Ovis aries: one gene and its partners. The protein of the gene in region 2 interacts with the protein of the main gene of each other region in a pairwise test. Links are inferred from orthologs where the notes say so. Each region holds a gene or a part of one and is shown on either strand. Other genes may lie near its edges.

Evidence for each region.
Region 1: the proteins of EGFR (region 2) and SH3D21 interact in a protein complementation assay, tested with the Homo sapiens proteins (2 studies listed by IntAct). The link is inferred for Ovis aries from reciprocal best matches to the Homo sapiens genes EGFR and SH3D21.
Region 3: the proteins of EGFR (region 2) and NRG1 interact in a protein complementation assay, tested with the Homo sapiens proteins (3 studies listed by BioGRID and IntAct, with this or other methods). The link is inferred for Ovis aries from reciprocal best matches to the Homo sapiens genes EGFR and NRG1.

What each region holds. Positions count from the first base shown.
Region 1 is NC_056054.1:11,176,706-11,180,445, reverse strand, and holds the start of SH3D21 (SH3 domain-containing protein 21), read right to left. Parts: upstream 2,869-3,740; 5' UTR 2,803-2,868; coding exon 2,799-2,802; intron 2,630-2,798; coding exon 2,472-2,629; intron 2,386-2,471; coding exon 2,322-2,385; intron 2,106-2,321; exon of another isoform or gene 2,071-2,105; coding exon 1,952-2,070; intron 1,711-1,951; coding exon 1,620-1,710; intron 1,603-1,619; exon of another isoform or gene 1,447-1,602; coding exon 1,391-1,446; exon of another isoform or gene 1,307-1,390; coding exon 1,261-1,306; exon of another isoform or gene 1,163-1,260; coding exon of another isoform or gene 1,112-1,162; coding exon 1,011-1,111; intron 892-1,010; coding exon 805-891; intron 643-804; coding exon 600-642; intron 1-599.
Region 2 is NC_056072.1:1,092,628-1,096,301, forward strand, and holds the start of EGFR (epidermal growth factor receptor), read right to left. Parts: upstream 2,811-3,674; 5' UTR 2,649-2,810; coding exon 2,561-2,648; intron 1,903-2,560; exon of another isoform or gene 1-1,902. UniProt on the Homo sapiens protein: Receptor tyrosine kinase binding ligands of the EGF family and activating several signaling cascades to convert extracellular cues into appropriate cellular responses.
Region 3 is NC_056079.1:27,643,934-27,647,677, reverse strand, and holds the start of NRG1 (pro-neuregulin-1, membrane-bound isoform), read right to left. Parts: upstream 2,536-3,744; 5' UTR 2,448-2,535; coding exon of another isoform or gene 2,259-2,447; 5' UTR 1,930-2,258; coding exon 1,260-1,929; intron 1-1,259. Other genes in the region: uncharacterized LOC128092250 homolog, read right to left, coding at 2,259-2,447. UniProt on the Homo sapiens protein: Direct ligand for ERBB3 and ERBB4 tyrosine kinase receptors. Concomitantly recruits ERBB1 and ERBB2 coreceptors, resulting in ligand-stimulated tyrosine phosphorylation and activation of the ERBB receptors.

The DNA of each region.
Region 1 (3,740 bases), on a different chromosome or scaffold from region 2:
GTCTGACGCAGGATGCAGCATGCTTGGGGCTGGTGCATGGGGATGACCCAGAAAGATGTTATGGGGAGGGAGGTGGGAGGGGGGTTCATGTTTGGGAATGCATGTAAGAATTAAAGATTTTAAAATTTAAAAAATAAAAAACTAAAATTAAAAAAAAATAAAAATAAAAAAATAAAACACATACGTACGTATATTTTTGGATTGTGTGCATGACATTAAAACATAAAGACACATCCCACAGATACACTGACACATAAACAGAGCTATTCTCTGACTCACTTGATAGATACGTGAACACAAAGTCTCAAAGGCCCAGATATACTGATCCATACATTTCCTCACAAAATGAAACAAATGTAAACACAGTCATTGATGAGAATGATAGCTCAGGACAGAGGAACAGGAACATAGTAACACACACGAAGTGACACAGTCCTAACACAGACCCACCAGACATTCCTACCAGGCCTTTAACCCATGGGGAGGTACCTCCTAAGGGTGTGCACTGGACCACTGGGAAGCTACGGGTGTCTGTGAGCACCTGGACTGGTGGGCCTCCCAGAAATCACTCCCCAGTCCCAGGCTTCCCCGGCACCCACCTGATTCCTGAGATACCACTTTCCGTGGGACCAGCTTCTTGATCTAAGCAGAAAAAAGTGTCAGAAGCACAAGAGGAGCCCTCACACTTCTAGGTCCACTCTCGCTTGTGGGTGGCCCTCAGCTGTGTCCAGCGAGTGCCACCACCCTCAGCTTTGTCCAGAGTGGCCTGCCCCTTGCCACCAGAGTCCCTGGCTCCGTACTCACTGGGGGAGGTGGGAGCACAAAGTTATCCGGGAAAAGTCCTCTTCTGCCTTGAGACTCTCCTTCCCACCAGCCCTTATCCTCTGTGACCTGGGAGAGCAAGAGGTCGTGGGGAGATGAGCCAGACCCCCAAGCTCCTTCCTTCCCTAAGCCCACGCTTCTCAACATCCCCCATCCCCGTGCCCTCCCTCGCCCTGTGTCTTGCCCACCTTCCTCAGTACTTTCACCTCATCACCCCTCCGAAGAGCCAACTCGTCTGGGGCCTCAGGATGGTAGTCAAACAGGACCCTGTAGGTCTCGGGGTAGGAGACTGAGGGGAGTTCAGTTCACTGATGCCAAATCCCCTCCCTGCACAAGTCATAGGCTCCCTCCTCCATCAGCCTACCTGGGCACCCCCTCCCCCAAGTCACAGGGGCTTGGGGAAGAGGATTTTGAGGGACCCTTTGGCGGGGTGCTCACCTGTCTGCAGGTAGTCTGGAGGGCTGTCATAGGTCAGGCTGCTCAGCTAGTGGGGGCAGGGGAAGGACCAAGCTGAGCCTCCAACCCCCTAAGAGAAACTGACCAACTTTGCCCACTCCACCCACTTTACCTTGGGAGGCCGCTGGGGACCAAGGATGACTGAAGGGATGTCTGGATTGCCAAGGCCTGGTGGGGGATAGCGAGGTTAGGGAGGGTGCTAATGCAGTTGAGGTCATGGGAAAGGTCAAAGGGGTCATAGGGCAAGATGTGCAGATCACAGGTTCAGGCCACTGGGGCAGGTCACTGAAGATTGTAGTCTGGTCACAGGGGTTCACGGGGTCACAGGGTCCAGGTCTCACTTGGGGGCCCACTGTCCAGCAACTCCACAAAGTTGGATGGGAAGGCTCCCAGCTGCCCGTTCTTCTTCCCCAGCCACCAGCCGTCCTCAATCTGGGAAGTGGGGAGGACGCAGGGGCATCTAGTCCTGCCCCAAGGGCCTCCCTAGCAATCTTAAACCCTGATTCACCCCGATTCTTCCCAGATGACCCCTCTCCTCCCTTGCCTCCTCACTTTCCCATTTCTGTGCCCCTCATCAATTCCATCACCCACAACCTCACGGCACCCGTCTCCTCACTCAGAGATTCCATCGTCTCCCCTCAAACCCCTCTCATCCATCACCTCATCCCCTCACCTCCTTTATCACTTCCACAATCTCCCCAGCTTGCAACTGCAGCTCGTCCGCCTGCTCCGGAGTGTAGTTGAAGTTTGCCTTGCACCATTTTCGGGGGCCCAGAAATTTGACTGAGCAACCTGGTGTCGGTCGAGAGTGAAGCAGCTTGAGTCTCACGCTCCAATCCGCGGAGCTGGGGGAGGAGCGGGACGCGCTGGCACCCTTCCTGAGTCTAGGCCCCACCCCAGGGCGGAGCATTGTACTTGAGAACCAATCACGGGTCGCGCCGTGGCCGCGCAGCCCCGCCCAGAGCCGCGCCCTTCAAGGCGAGTTGGGGACAACCTGGGCGCTGGGGCTCCGCGCGCGCGTATCCACGTGCACCCGCGCTCACCTTGGCGGCGCGCACAGCGCGGTCTCGGCGCCTCCCCCGAGCGGCGGAGAGTCTCCGGGATCTCCTGTGAAAGAGCGCACCGAGAGAGGGGCTCTCAGCTCCCTGGGGAGCGCGCAGAGAAACCCCGCCTGACCTCCGGCTCTACCTCACCTGCACCAGGGACTCCGGGAAGAGGCCACAGCGGCCTCCCAGCTCTCCACGCATCCAGCCCCGTGCGGGCCCCTTGCACACCTGCCGGATCACGTCACCAGGCGCCAGGTTCAGCTCTTCCTCCTTCTCCGCGCGATAACCGGCTAGGACCAGCACCTCTGCGGGCGGAGGATGGCGCGGGCACGCGGTTCAGAAGAGCCCAGTCGGGGCTGACTGGCCCTGGCGCGAGTCCCGGACCCAGTGTGGACAGCGAGAGAGCGTAGTAGTGGTGTAGGCTTTTAATGCTATTTCCAGGCAGAAGAGCCACCCCAAACCCTCTGCACATACCCATGGCTTCCGGGGCTTCTTTCGGAGCCGAGCAGGGAGGATGGTGTGGTAGCGTTAGCAGCCGAGTACTGGGTCCAGGTAGGTTGGGACTAGCCGCGAGATTGTGAAGCCAAGGAGGCGGAGACGCAAGCCCATAGGTTGGGCTCCGGTGCAGGGAGTGGGTGTGGGAGGGGGCGGCCCGGATCGGCAGGTTCGGCCCCCAAACTATGGGTAAGGACTCCAGGACCTCTGGCCAGTGCTGGGGTCACAGCTCCCCGACAAGCTATCTGCCCAACTACCTCCCCTCCTTATCCTAGCCTTGGCTGAGTCTCCGACACGCCACTGGCACAGAGCCGTCCCTGGCTTACCCTCTCCTGGTTCTTAGCTGCATGGGAGTCGACAGCATACCAGGGTGGGGCCCCCAGCAGGCAGCAACCGCTCTTAGACGGTCCTGGATGGGTGGAGTGGGTGGTGGCTCAGTGTGCACAAAGTTATTGCTGCTTTCCCTGGAAGGTGTATTCTCCCCGTAGTCCCTTCAAGGGGAGAGGAGGAGCTTAAAAACCCTTTCTTCAGGCCAATGGGGCCTAGCTTGTTTCAGGAAACACCACGGATTCTTCTCAGGGGAAGACAGGAAGGCAACTTCGGGAGCTTTCAAGGCTCGTGGTTTCCTACAGCCAACGCCAGAGCTGGCAAAGGTTAGTGCCAGTCCCAGGTGGGCCAGGCTAACTTTCAGATCATCTTCCTGCTTAGTGGTGAACACACAGAAGGCCAAGCATGTCATCCACACCCCTTGACCCCTGCCCCACTGCTTTGGAAGCCAAAGTCCTTGCTTACAATGACACCAGAGTGGAAAAATCTGGTTCTCCTAGGGTGTCTAAGGAACAGGATATGAAGCAAAATCACTGGAATGGGAATGAGGAGTTATTACCCAACACAGATTGGCTGAGGCTCCTCCCAGAACAA
Region 2 (3,674 bases):
TCACCTTCACACAGCATGGGAATGAGGACACAGGCTCCTGGCCTTCAGGCCAGTACTGAGTGGGCATCCTCTGGTCTCCTTAAAGAAAGGGAGGCTTCACCCTGGATACGATTCAAAATCCCCAAATTTGTTCTCTTTTATACAGCCCAGATCTACTGAGCCAAGGATATCATCTGAGGAGGGGCCGGGCCGGATGGCCTAGCTGAGAATACCATGAACGATCACTTCTGGAGCAGCACCTTCCCCTTTCTGTTTTTCAAAAGCAAGGAGCTTGCTCCACATTCCTCCAGCAATCTCCACATTCATCGCTCACTTTGTGACAGAGTTCTTCCACAAAAGGAGCCTCCTGAGCACGGGGAGAAGGAGTCCAGACCATGGGCAGGAGGCTTCCTCATCCCCAGTGTTCTTCCTCCCTCTGCCAGCATCCTACATCACACACACCGACAGAGCTCCTCTAAAACCAGAACAACAAATCAACACAGGCAGCACCCAGGGAAGGGCTCCAGGGTCAGAGGGCCAGAGTTTAAAAATTCAGGTAAACAAACAAACATCTGCCTTTTGCAAGCTGCGGGAAAGTCACTTTACTTCTTTGTACCTCGGTTTCCCCACATAGAATGACAAGAGCCAACTTGTATGGTTGATGTAAAGATTAAAAGGACATTTAAAACGGTGTCCGACAGGACCAAGTGCAGTGAGAACAAAGGACACTGTATCTTAGAACCAAAGAAGCCTCTCTAAAATGAGTAAATGTTCTAGAATAAAACTTACCAAATTTGATCAACACAGGTCTTTAACACTTGCTGTTAATAATTTGCCCCGTACATTTTGGTCTTCTGACGTTACTTTAACATTTGTTCACCTACTCTCACTATCGTATTCAGAAGCATTCTGTTTTGAACAAACATGGGACTAACAGGCAATTTAAGTGGTATTTATATATTTCTTAGAAAAGAATCTTTAAGCATTAATAGTAGTGTTCAGAAGGGTAACAGCAAAGAGCTGGGAACATTTCTGAAATGAGAAAAGTGATGCTTCGGAGGCACTCCAAGGGTTTAAAATAAGGATGGGGTCCCCTTGCCACCTGCTTTCAGGCGGGAATCCTGTTGTCAACAGATTCAGGAGCTGGACCACAGCCTGGGACTCAGAGGAGGAGAGACTTTCATTGAAAAAACTAATTTCTTTTTTAAATAAAATCATCATTCTCTTTCCTTTGCAAGATTGTTAAAACTCCAGATGTTCCCAAAGAGCTTTTTACATTGGCAGCAATCTTGCCAGAGATTTCACCTCTGTTGCCAGAGATTTCCAAACTTGACTGCCTAGCAGAATCACCTGAAGAGCTTTTAAAAATTCATACAATCAGGTCTCAACCCAGACCAGTGAAATGACAAAGTCTGGGGGTGGGAGCCAGACATCGTTTTTCGTTTGTTCTGTTTCAAATCCCAAGTGATTCTAATTTGAAACAAAGTTTGGGAACCACTGCTTTATGCCTTAGCGCTCCCGCATCAAACTCGCTCAGCACCATACCCTGTGCCAATGACCTCAACAGCAAGTACAGACCTGACTCTCGGAACCCAAGCTGCTCGATCTTGAAATTGGGCAATTAAACCTTCTGAGGCATGTTTCTCATTTCAAGTGGGTTTATGGTCGGCAGTCACGAAGCCAGACTCGCTCATGTTGGGTCTGGATATTTGGCACACGTGAATCACGGACATCAATTTTTTTTATTTAAATTAAGTTTAATATTTTGGTTGGCTTAATGTCAAATTCTTCAAAACTAGAAAACACATCCCAGACACAAAAATTTCTGGATTTTGAGGAGGAAAGCTTGCTGTGAGCCCTGTTTTGAAACCATGGAGAACCAGCCAGGATGGGTTCCCCCCTCTGGGGCGTTCGCACCAAGCCCCGGCTGTTTGGCCACGGCCTGTCCCACCCTCCGTCCCATCCACCTCGAAGCCGGGACACGCGGCCCACGGGCTGCAGGTGGGGGCGAGTCTCGGGAGTCCCGGGAAACCACCACTCAGGAGAGTCCACCGCCGGAGGGGCGCGGACGGCGGGGGCAGCTCGGGCCGCACCCGGGTGTGGAGGCGCCGTGCGAGCCGCCCCCTGGGGCCAGCGGGTACCTCGGCCCTCGCTGACTCGCAGCACAGGTGGCCGGTGCCCGGAACGAGCTTCCGGGCCTCCAGGTTAAGGCAGCTCTGGGAGGATGGCTCCCCGGCTCGGGAGCCTGACCGGAGGCTGGGCGCGGGTGCGGGGACGGGCGCGGAGGGCCGCTCCGGTCCTGGAGGTCCGAGGGAGCGAGGTGGACTCCGTGTCCCCCCTCGGCCCCCGGGCCGGGCAGACTGTGGGCGCACGTGCTGGGACGCGCTCGCCTGGGCGTCCAGCCCGCGGAGGGCAGGAGAGCAGAGGGGAGAGCCGCGCTGCGGGCGCCGCGGCCCGCCGCGCCCCGCGCCCCGCGCCGGAGGCTGCCCCGCCGCCCGGAACCGAGACGCGCATTCCTCCGCAGCCCGGCGGAAAGCGCGGCCGCCCGGGACGGGAAGGACGGCGGCGCGGGCGTCCTTACCTTTCTTCTCCTCCAGCGCTAGACTCGCCGGGAAGTGCGCGGCCAGCAGCACCAGGAGCGCCGCGCGGCCCGCCCGCGAGAGTCGCATCGCGCCGGGCTCCGCACTCGGTCGGGACGCAGCGGCCGCCGTGCGCTGGTCTCGGCGGCGCGGGACACGGCGGCGCGGGACGGACAGGGCTCGCGTGGGGCCGCGGGCGTGCGCACCGAGCCGGGGCGGAGGCTGCGCGCTGCGCCAGCCACCGGGACTTCTGGCTCGCTGGGGCGGAGGCGGGGGCGGGGGCGCGGGGAGGCCGGGCTGCAGGAGGAGGGCCCGGGAGGAGGGGCGGACGGCGCGCCTGGCCGAGGAGGAACCCGCCCGAGGAGCGCCGGCCGGCAGGACTAGGGGCGGCGGACAGCGGCTGCCCCAGGAGCCCGGTGTCCAGGAGGGGCCGTGAGGAGCCGAGCCGGGCGTCCCCCGCGGACGCGCCTGCGGTCTCCCTGATCCAGCCTTCTTCGAGCCACTTTTGTGCCGAAGTTGCCTTTTCCCCCTCTTTCTCCCTCCAAGTTGCGGAGCAAACTTGTACTAACTCCAGGCAAACTGGCTGAGCCCTAGGCCCAAGGCCAGATAAGGGTGCCTGGGGGGAAACCACCGCTTTGTTCCGGCACCCAACTCCTCTGAGCACCCTGGGATCTCAGTGGGGATCGAAAGTGGCCTAGCAGCTAAGACGTTCGTTAGCCGCGCCCTCGTGGCTGGGGTGGGTGCCTGGCCTCTGAGATGCGCTCTCCAGCCCGAGGGTCCTTCAGGTCGCGTCAAGCACCCTCGAATTCAAACGAAACAAGGACACCCAACTCCTGGCAGAGACTAGCCTTGGAAAAATGTTTGTTGAATGAATGCGTGGACACCGAAGGAGTATGCCAGGGTTCCATGAAGTAAATCGCTTCAGAAAGTCAAAGCGCTTAGAATAAAGGCTTAATATAAATACTAGCTAGATGCCCATCCGCCCAGAGACACCACGGTGTAACTCAAGCAAGAGAAAGACAGAGAAACCCACTAAGGACTGGGCAGGAAGAAATTAGGCTTTCTCAGGCTGCAGGATCTTTTTAGCTAAATTCCTTCAGCAAAGCCCACCCTAAC
Region 3 (3,744 bases), on a different chromosome or scaffold from region 2:
CTGATCCTTTACTTTTTTCTAAGGAAACAGTTTCAATGGTGAACAGAAGACAGTGAAACGAAAGTAAATTAGAAACTTTTTTAAAAGCTATAGAAAATGCCTCTCTTCTATAATGACATTTAAAACAATCTGACTAGTCATGGTTTCATCCTTGTCAACTTTTCCATTATAAAGCATGGCAATGACCAGTACAGACAGCAATAGGACTCCTCTGTATTGTTTTAAGAGCACGGGCTCTCTTCACTCACAGATTATTAAACAGGACTGCTGCAGTCTTACGGACAAAAAAGACACATCTGAAAAAAAAAGATTTACTAATGCGTCTTGTACTTTCTAATGACTGTCAAGGAAGCTATTTAAATATTTGATTCCAGAAGGCAAAACCACTTTGGACAAAGTATAATAGGAAAGAATATATGTGTGTGTGTGTGTGTGTGTGTGTATGTGTGTGTGTGTGTGTGTGTGTGTATACCAGAGTCACTTTGCTGTACAGAAGAAATTAAGACAACATTGTAAAATCAACTATACTTGAATAAAATTAAAAAAAAAAACAACAACCTAGTTTGGGGAAAATCTTTTCATGTGGAATTGTACCAGATCCTGAATAAAACTGCCCCTAACAAGTGCTCAGCAACTCAAACTATAATCTGAGCATGACAGCAACCTGCTGGTAAGAGGTGAGTGCTGTAAACATCTAAGACTTCATGTGATATTGGGAAGAAGCAATTAAAGTACAAACGTGGGGAGAAGTGGTTTAGGGAACAGGAAGAAGAGATGGAGAAAGATAACTCGCAACTTGGGCTGGCTGGAAGGCAAAGGATAGCAGAAAGGTGAGGAGAGGTAATGGAAAGTTTACATGGGGAAAAAAAAAACACATCAGGATCCTACTCACTGCTGTACAGAAGTCATATATATATAAAATGGTCTGATGTTTTCATCCTAAAAAGTGTTAGAAACCTATGGAATGGAACTGAAAGTCAAGCATGGCTCAGAGATGCTGAAGCTCTGGGTCCTCACCCCAGATTTCACCATCCAGGAAGAGAGAGTTGCTGTGATAGCATCAGTTCTAACCAGCAGTTTGTAAGGTCTTTTCACTCATCTCTGCCGGAGCAACCCAGTCACGTGATGCGCTTAAACCAAACCGTGCCATTCAACTCCGAGAAGACAAGGACCTCAGCTCTACCCTCTAGAGAACACTTCGGACGACCTCAAGCCCACCCATCTCCTCTACACATCCTCACCCGTCTCTCTCTACTTACAAAGTTTAGGAGCAGTTTGGAGATTAGTTTCTGTTGATGGTGGCTGAGTGGCTGCCTTGGGTGTTCTCACGTCAGGGCTCCGAGTGGGTGAAGGGAGGGATGGAGCAGTGGACGGCCGGAAAGAAAAAGCGAAGATACGGTTCTTGGGGGTGGGGACCGCCGAAGGCTCGGAGGACCCAAGGGCATTGTCAACTTGCACTGTAACTCGAACCTCAGTTTCAGACTGAGCCCTGGAGACAGGTGAAGTGTACGCCTTGGCTGATACCCACACAGCAGCTGAAGCTGCAGTTGGATCCAGAGAAATAATAGGATCCTGGCCTAATCCCCCAGGGTCAAGGTGAGTGGGAGAGTCATACTCAAAAATCTTGTCCACAAACACCCACTTGAGGCCCGCGATGCAGAGGCAGAGGCTGACCAGGCAAGCCAGGATGGGGACGATGCAGATTTTCTCTGAGTTGAGGCAACCTCTCAGGCGCTCGGTTTCCAGGCAGACGCAGCAGGGAAGAGTCAGGCCCACGAGCCCCGGGGACCTCCCATCTTCAGTCTGGGTCTCCGGCATGTCTTCGGCTGCCGGAAGTCCGTCCAGAGATGGGTCTGCACTCAGCTGAGTGGAAGGGCTCGAGGACCTCTCAGCAGCTCCCTCGGACATGTCTGGGGAATAAATCTCCATCGGCTCACCTCCAGGAGGCCTGGCCTCTCACACTGTCCATTACCATGCAGAACCCCCCCCAACCAAATGATACAGCATCTTACAGGGAGAAATCGATAAGTCGTCCAAGTCCAAGGCCATTATCAAAAGCAAGAGGAGTTCAGGAGGAAGGCAGGGGAGGCCAAAAAAAAATCAACAACAACAACCAAATAAAAGTATATTGTAATTCTTGACTGCTGTTTCTGGGCCACTTTTGCAGTTCTTTTATATGCTTCTCCAAACCATCCTGGCTGGGTCAGGAAGACCGGAGGCCAGCGGAGAAACCCAGGAGCTGATGCGGCGGCGGTCGGTTAAGTAAACCAGTAGCCCAAACTGAAAGGCATGTTTCTCACCTCGAGCAGCTGCAGCTGGGGTCTGCTCAGATGGAGAAAGCAACTGTCATGCAGAAGAAGTAAAAGCAGGAGCAGGACCAGCGGCGGCGGCGGCGGCGGCAGCAGCGGCGGCGGCAGGAGCGGCAGCAGCGACAGTAGCAACAGCATCCTGTGGTGTGAGCGCGGCGGCTGAAAGGGGCTGAATCATCACAGAGCAGCAGGTGCCTGCCCTCCGAGCATCACGGCGAAGCGTCTCTTCGCAGAGCGCGCTGGAGGCGAGAGCGCGGCCGGGAGGGGCGGTCGCCGCGCTCGCCGCCCTGCCTTCTCCCCCACCCGCGCAGCCACTCCTCTTTGTCCTTCCCGAGGCTCATTCACTTTCTTCCTCTGCGGCTCCTGCCTTCTCCACAGTCTCTTCCCCTTGCCTTCCCCCTCTTCATCCAGAGACTCTCTCTCTCCCCTCTTTCTTTCTTTTTTACCTCCCTCCTCTCCCAACCCCCACCCCTCTATCCGCACTCTGGGGCTGCTGGCTGGTCTGAGTAGAATCAGGATACCCAGCAAGGCGGGACTGCCAGTGACTTCCTATTTTATCCAATTAGAAGGAATAAAGGCCATCAAATCAAAGAGAAGCAGGCAGACAGCAGTTAAGCTGAGTCCCCATGGCCCCCACCCGGCTAGCCTCCTTTCTCTCTCTCTCTTTCTCTCTTTTTTCCTCCCTACCACAGCTGCCCTAATCTTCCACCCCCACCTCCCATGCTCTAAAGTCTCCCTGGTTCTCTCTTCTGCATCCACTGTTGGGTCAGAAAAAGCCAGCGATCAATGCTAGCAATCTAACAAAGCTAGGATGAGGCGGGGGGTGGATGTAGGTGGGACCTTATGGGTTGGACCTGAGGCTTGGCAAAGTCTGATATCTGATTCCTCCCTAGAGAGGTAAGCTTTTCAACAGCAATTTCTTCCTGCCTGCTGCAGAGAGATAGCATTCCATCCCCAGCCCTCTAATAAGTTTTGTTCACCGAGAGGACTGTTATTGCCTGGTGTTTCAACCAACAGCAAGAACATTGTTTTTCTTTTTTTTCCTCCTAACCATGGACAGCTCTGCCTTCAGCCCTGTTGCAATGACTGGGTAAGACTTGGTGATGCCCAAGTGTGAAGTGTGGAATATACATTGGAGAAGGGGGTGCTCAGGGAGGGGAGAGAGGTCTTTATGTGCCCACACGGGTCCCCTTTAAATTTTCATCCTTCTGTCCCACTCACAGCAGTCCCGGACTGATGTCCAGCCAACAAGAAACACCAGTAACAGCTATAGAGAAGGCTCCCGCTTCATCTTGAAAATAGCCTTCACTGTGACTCCACACTGCGGAGGTTGAATTCCCTGAGCGCTGTAATGTATACCACATGTCCTCAGCTATAACTGCACTGCAAGGATTAAGAAGACTTTTCTATATAAGAGCACGCCTTTAGGGTTAAG